Styela clava: one gene and its partner. The protein of the gene in region 1 binds, or shares a complex with, the protein of each later gene. Links are inferred from orthologs where the notes say so. Each region holds a gene or a part of one and is shown on either strand. Other genes may lie near its edges.

Region 1 (11,284 bases):
TAAGGGGTCAGCTTATACTTGCATAACTCTAAAACGCACTAAAAATTCTGCTTATACGCACATAGTAAGTAAAACATAACCAGGGATGGCCAATTCGAATAAAGTATTCGAATGTATTCGAATATCTCATTATTCGAATATCGGAATTCACGTTCATAAGAATATCGGATATTTGTGTGACGTCACACATTTTCGACGCCGCTTTCAAGACGTTTCCGTTGAATGAAAACATTCTCGATAGAAACTTGCGCGCGATTGTTTTTATCACTCATCAGCGTAACGTGTTATTTAGGCCCGTGAACGCTATTACGATTGTGTTATTTTCTCTAAAACGAAAATTTTCCACAAATTTGTTCCACGATAACGATAACATTTATTTTATTTTTGTATGCGCACGGAATTGTGAATCTGGTAAATACGTTCATAGGCGGCGAGTTTCTAAAGACAACGCAACTTTTTGATTGAAAAGCGGCAATTTAAAATACTGAAAACAAAACCGTAAACAACATAAGTTTTATTGAGTCCCGCGAAAATTTAAAAAACGCTTTTCTAGGCAGTGAAAATCACAAAATTTCGTGTGCCTCTGGCACACATTATGTTTGGTCAGCGTTTAGGAACGTATCGTCACTGAGGGCGGGATTTGCCTGATTATCCATTACTTTAAATTGCCGTCAAATATTTTCGGGTTAACACGATACAAGGTTTGAAACGCGACTTTTTCCCTGGTTGTGAGAATGTTATATTATAATTATTCTGAGGTATATTCAATCAATTTTATTGTGATGAAATAAATTTTACTCTGAGATATTTTACTCTGAGCATTTCGATCGAGCGGAGTCACTGTTAACAAGTACATCTAAATATTTGCCGTATTCGCAAAATACGGATAAAAACAATATTTAATCGGACAGTTTACCTCACGTTTTTATTTTTATGGCCGCGGACTGGTATATAAGAGTGGTGAGGATTTTATTTTGTCGACGCAACCGCAGTTTAAATTGAAGACAATTAAATTAATAAGAGCAAGACATTTTAAATATGCCCGTGTTGGTCACGAATTCATCACTTTGCACAACAGAAAATTATATATTTGTTGTTATATTATTTGTTGTAAAAGTCGACTCTTTTAACAGGTGGCATAATCGCGGCGATGAATATGTATTTTTAATTTACTGCTAAACTTTATATGTATATTCATTGTATGAAATGAATTATTCTCTACACTTAACAGGATTTTATATAATTGTTTGAGATTTTTCTAACGGCAATAACGAGTTGGCAAGATTGCAAAAATACATATTAAAATTAAATACATCAAGCAGTTTATCTCGTAATTTTAGGTCACAGATTGCCGTGGACCGAATAGTAATGTTTTTTTTGACGTAAGAAGAAGCAACCGCGAGTTATGTTGGACACATTAAATTAATATACAAAGATATTTTAGAATCTCGTAGTTGTCATGGATTGAATATTTTACGTAACAGAATGATCATTATACGCTGACAAGACGGCTCTTTTAACAAGCGCGGAATCGCGGTGGGTGTTACAGGCGGCAATGAGAATTTCCGATTTTGAAAATCCCGGCTGCGCGCTGGCAGTGGTGGTCATCTATTCTCTACTAATTTATTTCTAACTCCAAACACAACAATATGTTACACATAATAACAATAAATATACTGGTAGGTAGTAGAATACTCTGGGCTTAAATATTAGAATTTTTAAAGGCAGAATGGATTTTCGATTGTTGTTGCCTGTATTGCCAATAAATTTTATTACTCTCAGAAAATTTTCACAATTATCTGAATACAAGTAGTATTTTTGTCAATTGACTCGACTGTTATCGTAATATCATGGTACCAATGATAGAAAGCGTCAGACAACTCCTTGGCTATCTTTTCATATGGTCATTTGTACAAAGTGAATAATTTTAATGAACTGACTGTGTCACAAGTTGCTATTATTTTTTAATAATAGCTATAAACTATCAATTACTTTGTGTACATATACTGTTGGTCTGTGGCTTCATTCTCATATTTCTATTGAAGCTTATTTCCTAATTTACTGGGTTTTAATCAACTAAAACAAAAATGTGTTATTTTCGATTTTAGAATGTATTCGGAATTCCAGATTCGAAAACATTATTTTAGAATGTATTCGGAATAGTTTAGTATTCGGAAATGGCCATCCCTGAACATAACAATGATGGTTATCATTCTCATTAATTCTCTTCTGCAATTTGCTGTGGTGATAGCTGCGTACAATGTATAGGGCCGGCTTATATGTTTTGTTTTTAGGAGGTCGGCTTATATGTGATGACGGCTTACTAACCTTACAGGTCCAGCTAATGCGGCTAAGTAACACATCGGTAGTCGAGTTTGTAATGCTTCAAACCATTTTACAACTATTTCACCCAGTATATTAGTTGGTTGATCTGAAAATGAGCATGTCAATAAGTCACTTTAATAATTAGAGTGGTTATTATGTGTCCCGTATTTAACTTCCAGCTGAATAAAGTGATCTAGTTAATCGATAAAGGGATTTGAATTACCATATTTGTGTGGCACACAAGTTGCTGACATTTAGATGATACATGACATTTGATGGTCAATGTTAAAAAAGGATCGCTGGTCTCTTTTACCAGAGTAGAAATGTTGTTTTGATAGGCTTATCCCTGAGTTCACAAGGCATCTAGGACCGAGATTTGGTTTATGTAAGACTGCTAGGTAGAACATCAGGAATTCCATGTGGAGGTCCTTGGTGAAAAAACTTTCAGCATCAAATTTCCTTTCTATATCAATGAGAAACACACTCACTCAATAGAAGATGATTGAAATCATGAACTTCTCTGTATCTTTGCATAACATAAGCCAGATTTTCATCATCTACAAACTTCACAGGCATCCTACTGTCTGGTGTAATTTTCTAAAATAAATAAAAAAAGAATTGTTTATGACATGCTCTCTCAAGAATATGTTCCAAATTTTTATTTTTTTGGGGGAAGGCCCCCATTATATTTGGAGTAATATCCCTGTCGTTACAACAGTTCAAAGCGTAAATACAAAATTGTATGAGGCACTCACAAATCTATCAAGAAATTCAACATATTGTTTCCCAAACGTATCGTCTTTTAAAGTCCGCAGATGATTCATATCTACTGTTGTGCTGTTTATTCTAGGTCTGGTTTCAAGTATTTCTCTTCCGACAGGATCTTTTTGCATTCTACTCAGCATGTATTGAAGAGCCTTAGTTCCTGTCACCTCACCACATACAGCAACCATGTCTACAATTGAAAATTTTTTTTTTTTTCAAAATAGTCCAATACATACAAAACTAATAAAATGATTTATCTTCATCTTTACTTGTTCGCTTAACGACAGTTGCACGTGTATTTAATATGAATGGATTTGGTTGACATGGCTCGGCGGTGTGGCGCATCGTGCCAAGCGTTAGGAATACCTTCACCACTGATTACCCTGCGTAGGTTCGAATTCTGTGCAGGATTAAATACGTGTGAGTGGATTGCTGGACTCCTCCCCGCCATGGGGTGGTTCACGGCTTCCTCCACCACAAAGTTCATGCTTTCAAAAAAAAATAACTGGCTAACTAATCACATACCTGACATGGACTGGTAATCAAACGACAGGCCATGGTTTGCCATATAACTGAGCCTTCTTATAGTCGATAAATATGTAAATCCTATATGCTATGGAGACTGCCACTCATGAATAGGTGGCTCACATAGAACCTTTTTGGCCCATCATTGCCTGCTAAATTTTCTATACCTCAACGAGATGGATAATATGAATCAATTAAAATAATTTTTTCAAGCATTCATTGAAATTAATACATTGCTACTGATGGAAGACCAAAAAAGCAATTAAAATAATTTTTTAAGCATTTATTGAAATCATTACATTGCTTCTGATGGAAGACCAAAAAAGCTATAGGATGGCTTAATCATATGTTATATTACATCTTTGTGTGTTGTTTCATGAAAATGACCAACTTTTTACCAAAATTGAACAGTTTTCAGACCCGTGTTGATTAATAAATACCCCAAATCTCAAGCTGAAATATAAAAATTGAATGAATCTCACCATGTCTGTAAGGATTACTCAATGATGCAACGGCAGATCCAACAGCAAGTAACGACTTTTGAATATATGATGTAGTTATATGACCAGTATACAGTGACATTGTTTCATATCATACCTATTTAAAATTTGCTAATTTCTATATCAATCAAAATGTAACAATTATTGCTATGTTATAATTCAAGTTAAATATTTCATTTAAAAAAAAACTCCGAACAAAAACTTGAATATGAATAATATATGAAATATATACTAAAGAGTATGAGATGGGACAAAACAATTGCAGAATTTCACACACAGAAATACCAGTAGATGCAAATTATAGAAATAATTTGAAACAGTAAAGTGATATTCTACAGTTATTGCACCGTTATTTATAGGTAAATTATTAACACTCATAAATTTGCTGATGTATTTGTTTGATTATAATGTATGCAACGATGCTTACAATCTGCATCATAAATCAATTGATTATTCACATGCAGTTCAAATATGACCTATCACACAGACAATAGCTCAGATTTGAAATGATATTCCTGTATGATGTTAGGAACTTCTCACATGACTTCTTTACTTTGAACTGCTTTATATTCCATTTTACAAAATTTATCTTCAACAACTACGTGTTACGAAAACCCATCTAATATATAAGTCTAACAACTTCTAATTATTAATTTTGATTAGAGAACTTTTTGATAAATATTATGATTCGAGCAGTATTTTAAATCATACATATCCAATAACATTAATTATAATAGAGATAGACAGTTGAATAAGATAATCAATCAGTTGCAGTTTCGTTCAAATGCTTGTAATACATTTCTATTGCTTTTTCTTGCTCGACTGTTTCAACAGATCCTGGCCTCAATTTCCTGATTTCGTCCAGCGCTTCTTTAGCAGATATTCTTTTTTGTTTTAATAAATAGCATGCCAACATTGTTCCAGTTCGTCCATTGCCAAGAGCGCAGTGTGTAACTACCGGCTGTCAGGTTTAAAAAATACTCGGATTAGAACTCATAGGTGTTTTTGAAGAAAAGTTTGCAAGTTTGTATAATAAAGTTAATTTTTGAGTTTGAACAGACACATTGTTACAACACTACCAGTCTACTGTGTAGATGACTCCATCCCTATTTGAAAAAGCTATTTTTTCACATAAAAATTTTGTACTCTGAAAAATCCAGAAATACAATGTCCAAATACTTTTCTTCACAATATTGCAGTAATTGGCTTATTTAATTTCGCAACTAGGCTTATTTAGGGGGTCTGATCTGCGATAAAATTATTTCAACATTTTGCATTCCATGCCATTATACCATGTCAACAAAACTGCTCTGGAAGCAAAAAACTAGAAAAGAATTTTACCTGATTACACTTTTTCCCTTCGTCGACAAGTTTTAAAAACTCATCTATCTGATCAATTGTCGGAGGATGAAAATCTTTTATTTGAATCTTAGATAATTTCAAATTCAATGATTTACTATTTTCCTCAGCTCCTGGTGGATATTGTTCCTTCAATGAAATAACATGACGAATTCCAACTTCAGTGAAGTATTTGTAGTGATCTATTCAAAATAGAGTGAATAGAAATGATCAATAACTTAATAATGCTGAACCATACATGCATTTTAGGGAAAAAAATTGTTAAATTATCTCTATTATCTACGCAACACAGGCATGACAAGGGAGTAAGAAACGTAGTGAATGGTTTTGGAAAACTTTTGTGTCATGTGCACATTTTGGTGCTCGTAGTATGTGTACCAAGTTAGGCAATAATTTTATTCCAATTTTCCTTATTTTAGTTCTATTACGAGTTCAGGGACTAGCCAAGTGACTCCCATAGTTTTTGTACCTGAAATTATGGCCTAACTCTAACCTGGTACACATACTACGTTCCGGTGTCTGTCATCTTGGTATGCATACTTTAGGAGTACCCACATTTTTACTGAATTATGTTACGACTGCAAAAAATTTTTTCTCTCATTTCTATACGAGATGTATGCCCATTTTGCAGCTGAAAATAAATACCAAAACATACTTTATCCTAGGAATATAAGCACCAATGCAATGCCAAGCAAGTACGTTCCCAATATGGTGAACCTTACCCCTAGCAGATCACAGAGTCATCATCATTGACATTTTCAATTTTTTTTATAGTTGTCGCAATCCTTATTTCTTACCTAAATTTCCTGGGCATCCACATCCAGCCAGAAAACCTTCATCGACCCATGAGAAGTTAGGAGGTGGAGCATTTTCATGATTGCGGAATGCCATCAGATGATTAGATTGTATGATGTCAGTAGAAAATATTACTCAATGCCGAAGGCCACAAGATATATTTACATATACTATTAAATGACTATGATATACCTTAGAACAAAAGAATTCAACAAATGAGACTTGCTTGAAATAAAAAAAAGCAAGAGCAGAAAAAAAGATGAAAAACTGTACAATAATTATGATTTAAAGATCTATAAGATGGTAACGGCTTCAAAAAGTACTAGCATATATGACTGTTGATCTGTATTGAATCATGAATTAAACATGGACACATAATGTGTAATTGCTCTTCTAACAAATTTCCTAGCAATATTGTGATATACAGTGGACGAAAAGGGGTCAAATTAGCTAATTATGCTTTAGTTAGACCAGGGCTCTTCAAACTGGGGGTGGTCACTAGCTGGCTCAATGGGGTTTGCGGTAAAAACTTTTTTGACACCAACTTAGGTTAAAACAAAATATTGATCAAATTTGAAAGATTTGAAACCAGTATGAAGACCCACAATCACCGAAATATAGCAAAAACTTGATCTTTTTTGCGAGAATATTAGTCTCAACGATATTGTAAATTTGGGTGCTTCTGAAGTATGCGCACCAAGATGTCGCATAACCTGAACCCTAACCTGGTACACAACCTGAGTTCAGGTTGGGCGCCATCTTGGTGCGCATACTTCAGGAGGTCCTAACTTGTTTATTCATTCTCAATATTTTCTGTATTATTGAATAATACTGAATTAGTGAATAGTAAAATTTGACCATGCCAAGATGAAAAAAGTATTGAGTATTATGTTTGTTTTAAAACAAACAACCATATTAAGACCTCAAATATTATTTCCAAAGATTATTGCTACAATATGCACAATCAAAATTGCCTTCAAAAAAATATTTAATACAAAAACATGTTTTCTGCAGCAGCAAAAAACTGAAAAATAATTGTCTTCCGTTGAAGGATTTCAGTTCTATTGCAAATTACTTGATTAAACCAAAAATTTGTGTCCTTAAGTTTAATTAAGCAGCTCCAAGGATTTAAATAGCTAGTTATCAAGAGCCTTGCTGAGGACAAGCCTTGTTCTGCTTCTGTGATGACTAAATTAATTGAATTATTCGAGGCATAATGGAAAAGTAGGGATTATTTTTCAAATAAGAAAAGAATTACAGTAAAATACAGTAATCATATCCAATTTCAAATTTGAATAGCATACACATACTTCTATTAAAAGTGAGACAAGTATTGCACCGTAATCTAAAATTCAGCGTAAAATTGAGGTCACGCCATAATTATATTCTGATTTTCCTTTTTTATTACAAGTTCAAGGACTGTCTGTGTTAGTCAAGTGAATATACCCCCTGCCCATAGATTTCAGTCCCTTTACACAACTTTATGTAAATTAGGCGAACAAAATTAGTTACCTTCATATTGGTACACACACTTCTGGAGCCCCCAATGATATACTCTATTAGTATGACTGTGAAATACCTTATTTCAAAAAAGCTAAACATCAAATTTGAATACACAAAAATATATGCCAGGAGAGAAAATCGAAAATATTACTTGAAGGTATTGGTAACAGAGTTCAATTCATCTGGATTTTCTCGGACTCATTTGACAATACATTTACTATGTAGTGACAGTCTGAACAAGATCATATATCATCCATTTCCTTTCTTTTTCTTCTGTATGCCTTTTCTGAAAATCTACATTTGGTTGCACCACATTCACATGTGAAATTTTCACATTTTTCATCCCAGAATCCAGAACCATAATCAAAGCACAGCTGTTCACCTACTGCAATATCTTTCATGGCAAAAAAGGCAATTCGAGGAAAATTACTATCTTGATGATCGAAAAAGAAACGAACTGGAACCAAATTTGGCTCACAGTGATGATTGAGGTAGCGTGATACATTTCCATAAGATCGTCCATCGATACAATAAGAGCCACCCGGTTTATTATCAAGATCAAACAAGTAGAAGTCATCATCACGAGCGTCACCATCAGCAATGACCTCACCAATGTATTCACAAACAAATGATCCACGTGGGATTGGTTCTAATGCTCGAACACCCCAGCCAATATTAGGAGTTCTAAATACTTGAATGCGGAACCTTACACCACCATTTTGAATTACCCGATTCCTGCAAGATCGGGAGCACTTACATAATGGGTTACATTCATAAATAAAAGGTGGATTTTTGAAATTAAATGAAGGCAATAATCGACCAGATGCATCATACCAACATTGTCCACTTTGTTTTCCACACTCACATGATGTGCAATCCTGTGTGCATTTGCATGAAGTCATGGTAGGCATAATAGCATTTACATTTGTGTATTTGTAAATATTTTTGGAAATGTATAAAAATTCATGAGGTGGACTGACAGGACATGGAGCTTCATCAACAGCATTAATGCATGAGATTGCTATATTTTCTTTTCCTCTTGATATATCAGCTGAAAGTAATCGTTCACGATCAAGTGGTTCAAAACCTTTGTGATCTGTAATTGCATTTCGCGTAGCCGCGTTCATGAGAAGTGCAACTTGGCATAATGAAGGTTCTTTTGCACATTGTGCAGGGAAGCGACCTTCATTATTCTTGATGCGGGGATTGGCACCCCATGCAAGAAGCAAAACAACACATTCACGATTGTCTTCACGAGCAGCAATATGTAATGCAGTATCACCAAGAATATTTTGATGATCTATATTGCAATTTTTTTTCAAACACATCAGTAAAATCTTTTTGTTTCCTGCTAAAGCTGCCCACTGCAAGCAAATATTACCTTCTTGGTCCACAGTATGCATATTGGCATTATAATACATCAAGCATTGAGCGGTAGATGTACGTTTATGCTCCGCTGCCCAAACTAAAGGAGTCCATCCCCCTTCATCCAAGCAGTTTATTTGATTTTTGCTGCCATATTTCATTAATGTTAGACATGACTCGAGTCTCCCATTTTTGGCGGCATGATGGAGTGGCACCATTCCTTCAGAGTCGCTATGCACCAAACTTGTATTACAAGTAATTAGATATTTGACGATGTCAAGTCTGTTTTGCTGTTCTGCATAAAAAAGAGGAGTCTTACCATCTTCATCGTGGACATTGACATCTGCACCAGCAGTAACAAGCAAATGAACAATTTCCAAGCTATCACGAGCAACAGCTTCATGCAGTGCTGTCCTCTGGTTGGAACTGTTACGAGCATTTGGGTTGCCACCTGTTCCACACAACAATTGTAGAACTTTAACAGCATCTCCTTGTTTTACAAGCTGAATTAAATTTTTCGCTTGAAATCGAAGTTTCTTTGGTAAGTCTGTTTCTAAGCTTTGAATCAAAATATCCAAGTTCTCACGATCTGGCATTAGTTTAGTATTGTCTTGAAAAAGCATAAATTCAGGAAAAGGTTTTGTGATTCCCGGAATACGAATAACACAATTAGGATAACATGATTGTTTCAACTTTTCAGGCGACTTTTCAATAATTTCTGACTGCTCTTCTTCGTATTTTTTCAGAAAATCGGCACTTGGATTAACAGAGACTTCCTGAACATTCGACATAGGGCAACCACAATGAGGACAATCCATGCTATGTCTCATTAGCACTAGACAATTTCGATGAAATCGGTGTTGATGTTGGGGAGTGCTGTTGCATACAAGAAATGTGCCACCTGCACAAAAAGTGCCACAGCCTGGACAACACTCATGTTGTAACATGCGAGCTCGATGTTCGCTGCACAATCCATGAGCAGGAAGATTTTTAGAAGCTCTCATCATGTACGGCTCAGAAACATTATTCATGCAACCAGTTAATCTGCCATCAATGTTATCGATTGCCATACATGTAATTTTGTGATGTGATGGATTAAGAACATACTGGGACTTAACAACACAAATACAGAGTGGAGTGGCACCAAGCATACTCTCCATATCATGATATAGGGTTTGCATATCAGCAGATAATGATGCAGTTCCACGAACTGTTTTATAAGTTATTTTACTGGATGGTAGATTGCTTACTTTATCAACAACACTTCCATTGTTTGGCTCTGGTGTGTTCATTTCATTCTGCAGTGAATTGCTTGAAAACATAGACGTATTTTTTGAAATGTTTTCAGATGAGAAATCAACACTAGAAATTGAATTACCGATATTATCCTCTCGACGTCTCTTAATCTCCGATTCTTGATTTGAAGAACTTGTAGCGTGTTTGCGCTTTGACTCTATCGATGATACTTTTATGTCCGATCTTTCATCGGCCTCGTTGATGTTCGAATTTGGTGTTTCTGGCCTCTTATCGCCATCAAAATCGGCTATATCAGGACTTGGAGTTATTAAATGTTCTGAGCTTCCGCTGATTTCCGAAATGGCAATTTCAGCACTGTTTGTGTGAATTGGACTATTCTCCTTTTCAGACAAACTTATATCGCTGTTCTTTGTAATATCATCATCATCATCTGAAGATATGACTATAGCTTCACTCGTGTTTGCATTTTGCAGCTCATGCAAAGATTCTGACTTAACATACAATGGGGAATTAGGATCCTTTTCAGCTTCTTGTTTGATTTTCATTCTAGCTTGAACCTGGGTGAGATCAGAAATATACTTGGTGCATTTCATAAGTTGATCATTACACTCCATTCTTGAGAGTTCAAGAAAAACTGAATCCCAGTCAACTTTGCGTTCACTAGCAATAATTCGAACTATTGTGCGAAACTTGGACATTTGTTTATTACTGATTGGATCATCAGCAGGTATAATTGACAAGCGGCGATTTGCAAGTTCCTTGGATTCTGGATCGAAATAAGGGGTCGGATGAGATGAACTTTGCATTCCGCATAGTTTTCGTATTCTTCTTGCAGTCTGAACATCAGTTGTCACCCAAATTACAGGACATCCCCTGCTTACATATCCTTC
Region 2 (9,413 bases), on another chromosome or scaffold:
TCGAAATGCAGCTCCTCTATAGCATAGAGTAACATCACAATCATAGCTCTGTTATTATTTTGTCCACTGCAGCGGTCACAGAAAAGTTGCACAGTCTTCACTGCTGTGGTGAGAGAGGACAGGTATCAAAACACTGCAGTCGCTATTTTACAAGAGCTTTTTCACCCTTATACTTCATTCCAAAGATAGCAACTCTTGTGCATGGACTGAATGTCAGTTACTGTAAAGTTGAAATTTTTCAGCATTTGTGTGTAGTAAAAGGAGGACACTTGTCCACAAAGACAAAGAAGAGTTTTCTGAAGGTCAAAAGCTGCCACATGAAGTGAAGAATCTGTTGTGGTTTTTTCTTTCATTTCCCTCTTCATTGAACGCACCATGTCCTTTTCTTGGATATGCTTAGTTTGATTTTCGAAATCTTCGTCAGTCAATAGAGATTTTTGCATTTTTTGAAAGCTGAAAGCATTGATCACACACATCTATTTTAGGTCGGTGAAATTTAAGATTGAATTTTTCATTGGATATGCGTAAATAAAAATCATATGATTCAACTGCAGAGCTATTTTCTTCGCACCAAATCTCATATATTTCATACATTTGTCGTACAGTCAGATACTCATGAAGATATTCCCACTGACTGTCTTTTCTCAAATAATGTGATTCAACAACTGGAAACAATTTTATATGAGTTATAAATGGCTCCTGCCTTTCCCTGGTGACTTTGTTGTGGTCACCATATCTTCCTCACATATCTTTCTCCAGTGAACCAGTGATGTTTCCACCCTTTTCTTGCTTATATTCGGGGGAATCTAAAAAAAGTTATTACACACTTGCACCAACTCGTTGCTTTCTGGATTTAAAAAAGTGTAGACTCTGTTGACTTCCTGATTACGTTTTTGATCAGTCTTAGTATCTTTTCTCGGACTGCATCTCATTTTTTGTATGTACTGAGACAATCATATTCTGGTTAGATTTCTTATCAGATGGGATATCGTAACTGAGTAAAGTCTTCTGGCTGGTTCACACTTTGCTTGGCTTTGCTTGAAAGATATATTTCCGACTCGAAAATTCCATAATTATGTAAATTTTAATAATTTAAAAACAGCAGTTGGAAAGTGGTTATGGCAATGAATAATAACTTTCTCATTCCCTCTACTGTAAACATAAAAAACAGCTAACACTGAGCTATGACTGAGAGCTGGTATGGACTTAGCGCTTTCTATTATATTTAACTCAAATTTTTGGGAGGAGCTATGTCCAAAAAACGGACTTAGCACCGACTTACAATGCAGTTATCCAGAGCTAAGTCCACTATAGCAGACACAGCTCTGTTTAGTTCTCAAATGCCCTAAAAAAAGCAGGGTTATGTCCATAGCTATCTTGAGATCTAGAGCACCTAGAGATAAGGCAAATAGACCAAAATGTAGAGCTAAGTCCAGGAAAATCAGCAGTTGGAAAATGTCGTTTTTGGGAAAAGTGGACTTAGCACTGTTTGGTTTTGATGCGTCGATATGATGGTATGAGACTATTTAATTTATGACTTCAATAATCTGTGACACCTATGTAACCCTAACTACAGAACTATGCACAAATGTTCTATAAATCCTTATGTATTTATATAATAATACATATGAACAAAACTCAAAGTGAATGTGGAATAACTGAAATAAAGTCATAACATTGCAAAACATAGTGAATAGCTCAAAACAGAGGGCAGAGGGAAACAGCAAATACCTGTTACCAGTTTTGCACAGTTTCCCTTTGTTTCCCCCTTTTTCCGCAAATAGTAAGACCCAATATGAAACAAGTTTGCATATACCCATATAATCAGTCCCATATTTATTCGTACCATGTTTATTCATAATATTGTGGCATTATATACTTTAATACTTTTTCATTGCTTTTCTCTATACTAGTATAGTAAGGTTTAAAATAGGAATCCAGTCAGAATGTCTTCTTGTGGGACTTCAACTGGCAATATTGCAAAGGAGGGAGAAGAAAAATTTGGCTACTGGAAACAATTAGTTGAAACTGGATTCGGAGGTCTTCAAAACTGGCCAAAAATGCGTCCACTGGAAAATGATTGGCAACGTCCTGGTTTAGCTTATGATAAGTGTGACATCGAAGTCATGGCTATGGAAATTTGTCGTCTGCACAATGCAGATAATCATAGACGTGTCCAGCAAGTGTGTGCGAAAGAACTTACAGACTTGATGGAATGCACATATCCTCTTAATCGATGTAAAAATGAAAAAAAGCTTATCAAAGCCAGTGCATTAGCTTTTGATCCTATACCTTCATTGCAAGCTGGATTTAATTGGAAATATTAAATTTTGAACTATTGATTCAGAGTTTCATCTAGGACTGGTCATTTATCATTAATTTTTGATTTTGCTTTAGTGTTCATATTTGATCTTTTTGAAATATAGGAGACTGTTGTAGTGTGTTTATATACCCTTGGCACGACATTTCAGATATGAATAAATATTCCTTCATTCACTTTGTAATAGTTTTTTTTGGGGTATCGTATCATATTGAGTTTATATTATAGACCTAGCTGGATTTTCATTCAGCATAGAGTAAACTCTGAACATTTTTGTAGATATATATCAGTCCTACGATTTGTCTGATTATTTTTTTTAAATTATTCTGGTTCCGATCACATTATAATATCCTTAAGTGTGTTTATCTCTAGATTTTATAATGGAAACAGTTAAATCATTATTCGAAAGACTTCAATATGATGAAAATCGTCTTGCTGCCCTTTTGGACGGAAAAACTTACTTAGTAAACGTTAAGCCCACTACTTTGAAGGGAATAATAACAGCTCCGGATATTGCTTTACTTTTTGCTTGTTTCGATACGCAAAATGTAGAACAAATTTCAGCTGTTATCTTCATATTGAAGCTATTATTGCCAATAGTTGATGTTGGGGCAAAATTGGAAGTTTTATCTCAGCATTTATGGAATGGTTTGAATCATTCCAACAGCTCCGTCCAACATTTATGTCTCGGTGAGCTTCGGGAATGCTGCGTAACAGATATAGGCAACCGTGCGTTAATGGAAGGCAAAAATGTCATTGCAAAAGTAATAGAACTCATTGGGGATGATGACATGTCAATAGCTCATTCTGCAGTCCAGTTTCTTTCTGATTTTGCGTCATATTCTATCAATGCAGCAAAATTTCTTCTTCAAGGAGAATTGCTGGAAAAGTTTCAGGCAGTGATGAGAAAGAATGATAACGTTCGTTACAGAGGATATGATGTTATTGTGAAAATTCAATCTAAATCTATTGAACATTTATCTGTTTGTGATTCTTCTGGTTTGCTTCGCAATCTTGTTAATGAGCTGATGGGAGATGATGTATTAATTAAAGTTGTCTGCGTGTCAACTTTGTCTGAAATGGCACTCAGGAAACACAGTTTGCAATACTTGAATAAGAATGGAGTTGTCAACAAATTGATATCAATGATTACAAATGTTGCCTCTGATCCATTGGCCGATTTATATATGCCAGAAATTGTGAAGTTTTTTGGAAAAATGTCGTATCAAGAAGGACCACAGCATGTTATACAAATTTTTCCACAATTTTTGGACACCTTGTTTTCACTTGTTGATGAATTTGATTTGGTGAAGAAAAAAATTGGAATTGAAACTTTGGGATTCATTGGACAAAGCATGGAGGGCAAAAATGTTCTTGCAAAGGAGGGAAACCGCACCAAAGCGGCAATTACTGAAATTGGAAAGATTATATGCACAGAGGGAAGCGATTTGAGACTGATATCTATAAATGCAATGTGCCAGTTATTGGATATAGCTCCCTTGGATCAGACTGAAGATATTGTAGCTTTATTGGCACAATGGTTTCGTTGCATCTCATCATCTCCCATTGATGCAATTTTGTTTTTATGTCGCCAGCCTTTCACAAGTGTAAAATGTGCCGGATTTCATTTGATAAAAACTATAGCGAAATTAGAGTTTGGAATGGCTGCTATGGTTGAGTTCCCCACTTTTGTGGAATTCATCCTCGATCGATCGTCTGATAATAATAAAGAATCTAAAGATGCAAGATTTGAAGCAGTAAAAGCAATTGCAGAATCTCCCCAATGCATGCATATCTTTGGCAACAATAATTATTTAAAGTTTCGTTCTTATGTTCTTGAAGGACCATTATATGAAGAGATGGTCAGTCCTGAGGTCGCAATGGAAACATCTTAAAAAATATGCTCAGTACTAGCTTGAGCTTTAAGTACACCTCGCCCTTACGATAAGGAGCTAAAGTGAACTATAATTGAGATTGAGATAATTGAGCCCATCTGAAACATTATTTTTGTGATAATTCTGTGTTTGCTTTTACGTTTAATGACCGCCTGCTATAACACCTAATGTAGTAACATTAATAATACCTTGTTATAAGGTGTTTGCTCACTTAAACTCAAAACGGGATTCGTTGCAAATTGCAAGCAGCAATTGAATGCACTGATTGTCGTGTTTCGAAAGATCAAAAATTTTATGAATCAGCATATCTGAAATGGTGACCACAGACTGCATATTTTTCATAAACTTGCTGGGAACCTGACAACTTGCAATGCTAAATCAAATATGACAGCAGGATCTATGTCATGACACTTTGGACAATAAAATATATGTTTGAAGTTTGGACATACCATGCATTATTTAATGATGGGTGATCAGTCTTATAGAAATATTGCAAATTTTGTATAAATTTTTTCGAATGTATTATCGAACACAAAGTTGATTTGAAAGTTATGTTTGGGACCAAAATTTATTTTCTTCCTATCTGCTGGATCACTCAATTTCAAATATTCGCAGTTGAAAACGAAAGTTTCTTCTTCAAAAATATCTCTTTCAATTTTGTCATATTTACTCTAGGCATTTTTTGATTTAATATGAACAGGTTTTAAAAAAAATGATGCCATGTGGCTGTGTCTTTATATTTGAACATTGCTATTTGGCCATATTTTCAAAGCTATTTATTCTGATCTTTGCGCTATATTCCAAAAGATTTTGCGGTATAATTTGCTCAAGTCGCATATAATAAAATCATCATTATTTAAGTTGCTAATACACTGCGTTTTAATGCTGCCTTTAGTGTCATAATACAGAGAATGTCTTTTGTAGCAATACGTAATCTACCGTAACTTTTATTTTAACTTTCATTTTAGAACTCCTGTTTATATCTAATGTCACATTGAATGGTTTAAATTTTCATCAGTCATGCTTCTAATAATAAATCGTGGTTGTTTAACCAAATACTGTTCCATACTGAGGAGTAGTTCGTTTTGTACCTCTTCATGCACTCGTCAAGTTAAGGATGCACAAACCAAAGCTATGTATGATAGAATGATCAGAGTCGATCATGCAGGGGAACTTGGTGCCAATCGAATATATGCTGGACAGCTGGCTATTTTACGTAAAACTGATGTCGGCCCAATCATTGAAGAAATGTGGGAACAAGAAAAAGTTCATTTAGCAAAATTTAATGAACTTATACCTAAGCATAGAGTGCGTCCCACTGTATTAACTCCAGTATGGAATGTTGCAGGATGGGTACTAGGTGCTGGAACTGCCCTTATGGGGAAAGAAGCTGCAATGGCTTGCACTGTAGCTGTTGAAGAAACTATTACGGAACATTATAATGATCAACTTCGAGAACTTTTAGCAAGAGAAGATTCCTCCGAGCATGAGGAACTTCTAAGCACAATCAAACAGTTTCGTGATGAGGAAATGGAACACCATGATATAGGAATTGACCATGATGCACTAAATGCACCTTTTTATTCAGTTTTGAAAAATGTAATACAAGCGGGATGCAAGGTTGCAATATTTGCATCTGAAAGAATTTGACATCCGTAAATGGAGATTTGAACTTATAGAAAATCAAAAGCGATAATTTATTTTTTTCGACTGCCTCCATGCTATATGCCAGACCAAAACTGAATTCTTTTTCAATTTCGTAAATTCACAAATAGTCAAATACATCGAAAAACACTGTGCAAGTTACTAATCAATTATTCAGTTACCAATCTTGGATGCATGGCATAATAGTTAATGTTCTTTTTCTAAAGTGATGCCAATAGCGAAATACTTGAGCGGAAATTCTACGAAGTTGCGAAATTATTGTATCATGATTTTAAATGCTTATAGCGATGGTTTTGCTATTAGTTATTGAAACCTAGTGTTTATAATGTGACCAAGCTCGCAATTTTAATTCAGGTAATACTTAATTGTAACCCTTTTCGATAAAAACAAACAGGAAAAGCAATTTCACTTTTTTGTCTTTATTCAAGGATGTTCCCTCAACAATCATGTAGTTAATAAATATGTTTTGAGAGTGCGAGGAATGGTAAAAAATTTGATATATAATATTTGAAGCTGATAAAATCATGCTTCTATACATCCAACAAAGTTATATACTCAGTTGGCAGTTGGCGCATTACAAATAATGTAATACTGGTATTCAAATCTACTTCAATTATTTTATTAATTAATATAGTTTCTCGATGTGAAGTAACACTGCGATCACTTTTATAAATGTGAAGTAACACTCCGATCACTTTTAAATTTCTTTTTGCTTTCCTTTTTAGCATATTATTTAAGATGGTTATATTTGTACGTATTGATATGAAATATGGAAGATTCTGTGGATTCTAATATTTTGTTGGTTGTTCCATCATCTATTGAGGACAGTGTTCCTGTTGGTGGAGACAATCCACTAGGTATTTACTAAATATTTAGATCAATTTTATTTCTTGCTCTTGACTGAACAATGTTTTCATCCTGTCTACTAAATATTAAAATAGGGCATGATTACTATGAGGTATACCTACTTTTGTCAAGGATATTATAGAACACAACCTTCAACATTAGCCAATCAATGTAGTTTGTCAATGTTTCGGATTTCCGTACACAAAATTTCACTCTTTCAAGACGAGGACTAGAAATTCTCTCGCACATAATTATGGTGAATTAAAGCAGTTTGCCTAGATCTGTTTGTGGTTTCAATACGCTGTCTATTGTCAGCTGTGTCAATGACTTCTTTATGATTTATTCAAATATGATAAAATTTACTTGTCAGGAATTTCAAGCAAAACTCTTCATCCAGCAACTGCTTCTATCTCAATTGAAGCTGGAACAGACTCATTCTCCTGTTTCCAACTGTCTGGAAGAGAGACTCAGGTATAGCATCTTATTTTATTTGATCACAATTCGATAAAATTTTTCATCAATTACCTGGCCAGTTTCAAATGAAAAAACATGTTTCTGGTACTTTTTATGAATGACCGCATGGTTTCATGTTTTAAACCTCAGTCAAGGTTTTAGCCACACCTCATAAAGCTCCAAATTTTGTATCTTGTGCTTTTTTATATATTGTGTGATTTGAATCTTGGAAGCAAACATTATATATGTTTTGTCGTACAGCACTCGAGGAAGATTTATTATAAATACTTAAAAAATGTGTTTTGTACATGAGCTTTTTGTTTCAGTCGTTATTCCACTATGACAAATGTAATTTTGAGATAGAGATTTCATAAATTGTGAATATCATATTCCTATTTTTTTATCCAAGGATTCAAAGTCAGAATCTTCTGAAAGTTTACATATTGATGAAAGAGATGTAGACATTATACCTCAATCCCCTAAAGAATTGCATATCGAATTGAGTGATACTCCAAGTGCTCATTCGAATTCTAACACAGAACCTAACGATTCTTATCAGAATTGCGACTGTCTCGACATGGTGGGTTATTTTTCTTATTTATATACGATTCCTGTTCAACCCAAATAAGGCCTAGTACTCACTGTTGTCTACCAATATGTGAGGAGCTATTATTTGGAAAGACCAGAATCTTTTCGGTTCGGTCTACCCTATTCAGTCGAAGACTACTTCATCTTATGCTAGGGTTGTGCAATGAATCTAACCTAGCTTGCATATGTGATCACAGCTTCATTGGCCCGCCGCACATTCGGAGAGTAATCAAAAAATAGCATTTCATGTTGTTTTATGTCTTTTTACATATTGTTACATCACTAATGTCACTGAATTGACTAGTGTTATGGCTAGTTGAGGCAACTAGCGAAGTAGAATGATGTGCTTTGCTTGGAAGTCTAAATTATTATCTGGCTTTCTATCTTTTTGGTCGGGAATATATGCTAACAATAGAAAATCTAATGCGGATTCTATTAGCCTTGGATGGCTATATCTGATAACTATGTGTTTGCACAATAAAAGTTTTGTTTTTTATTGCACTGTTTACCTATTCTTGGCACTATTGTGGCCCGCGAGCAATGCAAAAATAATTTTGTGGCCCGCGGAGCTGGCAGCCTTGACCACCCTGGTCTATCTTATTCAGTTGAAGACTACTTCATCTTATGATAGGGTTGTGCAATGAATCCTACCTAGCTTGTGCAAGGATATGATTTCAACTCCCACAGTAAATCTATAATTTGTTCATCACAAACAGGGGGTGGTTTTGGGGGTCGAAAACCCCCCTCACCCTTTTGAAATGTCAAGAAAAGTAAAAGCATGTTTCTGTATCATACATAGCAATTTTTCGTAGCTTGAAGCACTCAAGACTCATGTACTCGCACGTTTTTCGATGTTCGGCCGGACCCGCTAGTTGTTTCGATCTAACTAGGCAAATAGAAATAGAGTGTTTTGAACGATGAGACAATAAATGATACAGGCACGGTTTTATGTAATCGAAATGGCTTGTAAAAATTTATTTTTTTATTTTTAGGATTCGGGGAAAATGTCTCCTGATTTGATGGCATCGAGTGAAGGATCACTTTCTTCATCAAACCCTGTTATCACGTCACAACCTGATGAGTATGTTCAACAAGCTTTTCCAAGCCTGGAATTTACGTCGCCAAAGTCACAGTCCCAGAGTCCTACTTTACAACCCAATACTGTGAATCCTTATGAAGCGGACACAGAATCATACACACCATCTGACTTCCCTCCTCCAGCGAATCTGGAAGAACCGAGTCGCTTTTCAAACTTTTTAGGGACTTGTGCAATTGAGGACAATGGTCCTTCCCCAATCATACTAACAGCCAATACAGAAACCAATTCTGAATTGAAAGACAATAATTCAGATTTCATCAACAAAGAACTTCAGGAAAAAGGTGACCAGTCTTGTGAAAAAATAAACAATTCAACAATGGAAAATGGGAAAATACCAGCAGAATATGATCTTGATTCGAATGATATAATTATTGAAGATGTCAACATGAGAAAAATTGAAGATGATGAAGCAGTCAATAAGGAAACAGATGAGGAGACTGCTCATGATAATGTCTCTTCAATTCAGCACGAAGGTAAGATAATATACCTTGCAGTTGAATTTTACAAGACTTTATAAGTACCTTTCCTTCATGCATTTCGGCTAGTG

The links.
Region 2: ubiquinone biosynthesis protein COQ4 homolog, mitochondrial-like (region 1) and NADPH-dependent 3-demethoxyubiquinone 3-hydroxylase, mitochondrial-like share a complex: the UniProt entries of both Caenorhabditis elegans proteins name them as parts of the multi-subunit COQ enzyme complex. The link is inferred for Styela clava from reciprocal best matches to the Caenorhabditis elegans genes coq-4 and clk-1.

Annotation. Positions count from the first base shown.
Region 1 is NC_135256.1:11,735,837-11,747,120, forward strand, and holds the start of ubiquinone biosynthesis protein COQ4 homolog, mitochondrial-like, read right to left. Parts: upstream 4,238-11,284; 5' UTR 4,198-4,237; coding exon 4,098-4,197; intron 3,281-4,097; coding exon 3,081-3,280; intron 2,923-3,080; coding exon 2,814-2,922; intron 2,432-2,813; coding exon 2,329-2,431; intron 1-2,328. Other genes in the region: dual specificity protein phosphatase 23-like, read right to left, coding at 4,876-5,076, 5,457-5,656, 6,272-6,365; histone-lysine N-methyltransferase EHMT2-like, read right to left, coding at 8,015-11,284. UniProt on the Caenorhabditis elegans protein: Lyase that catalyzes the C1-decarboxylation of 4-hydroxy-3-methoxy-5-(all-trans-polyprenyl)benzoic acid into 2-methoxy-6-(all-trans-polyprenyl)phenol during ubiquinone biosynthesis.
Region 2 is NC_135263.1:5,460,072-5,469,484, forward strand, and holds NADPH-dependent 3-demethoxyubiquinone 3-hydroxylase, mitochondrial-like, read left to right. Parts: upstream 1-5,232; 5' UTR 5,233-5,235; coding exon 5,236-5,865; 3' UTR 5,866-6,605; downstream 6,606-9,413. Other genes in the region: 26S proteasome non-ATPase regulatory subunit 5-like, read left to right, coding at 2,701-4,215; uncharacterized protein LOC120341376, read left to right, coding at 6,650-6,737, 7,097-7,197, 7,589-7,759, 8,760-9,339. UniProt on the Caenorhabditis elegans protein: Catalyzes the hydroxylation of the 5-methoxy-2-methyl-3-(all-trans-polyprenyl)benzoquinone at the C6 position and participates in the biosynthesis of ubiquinone.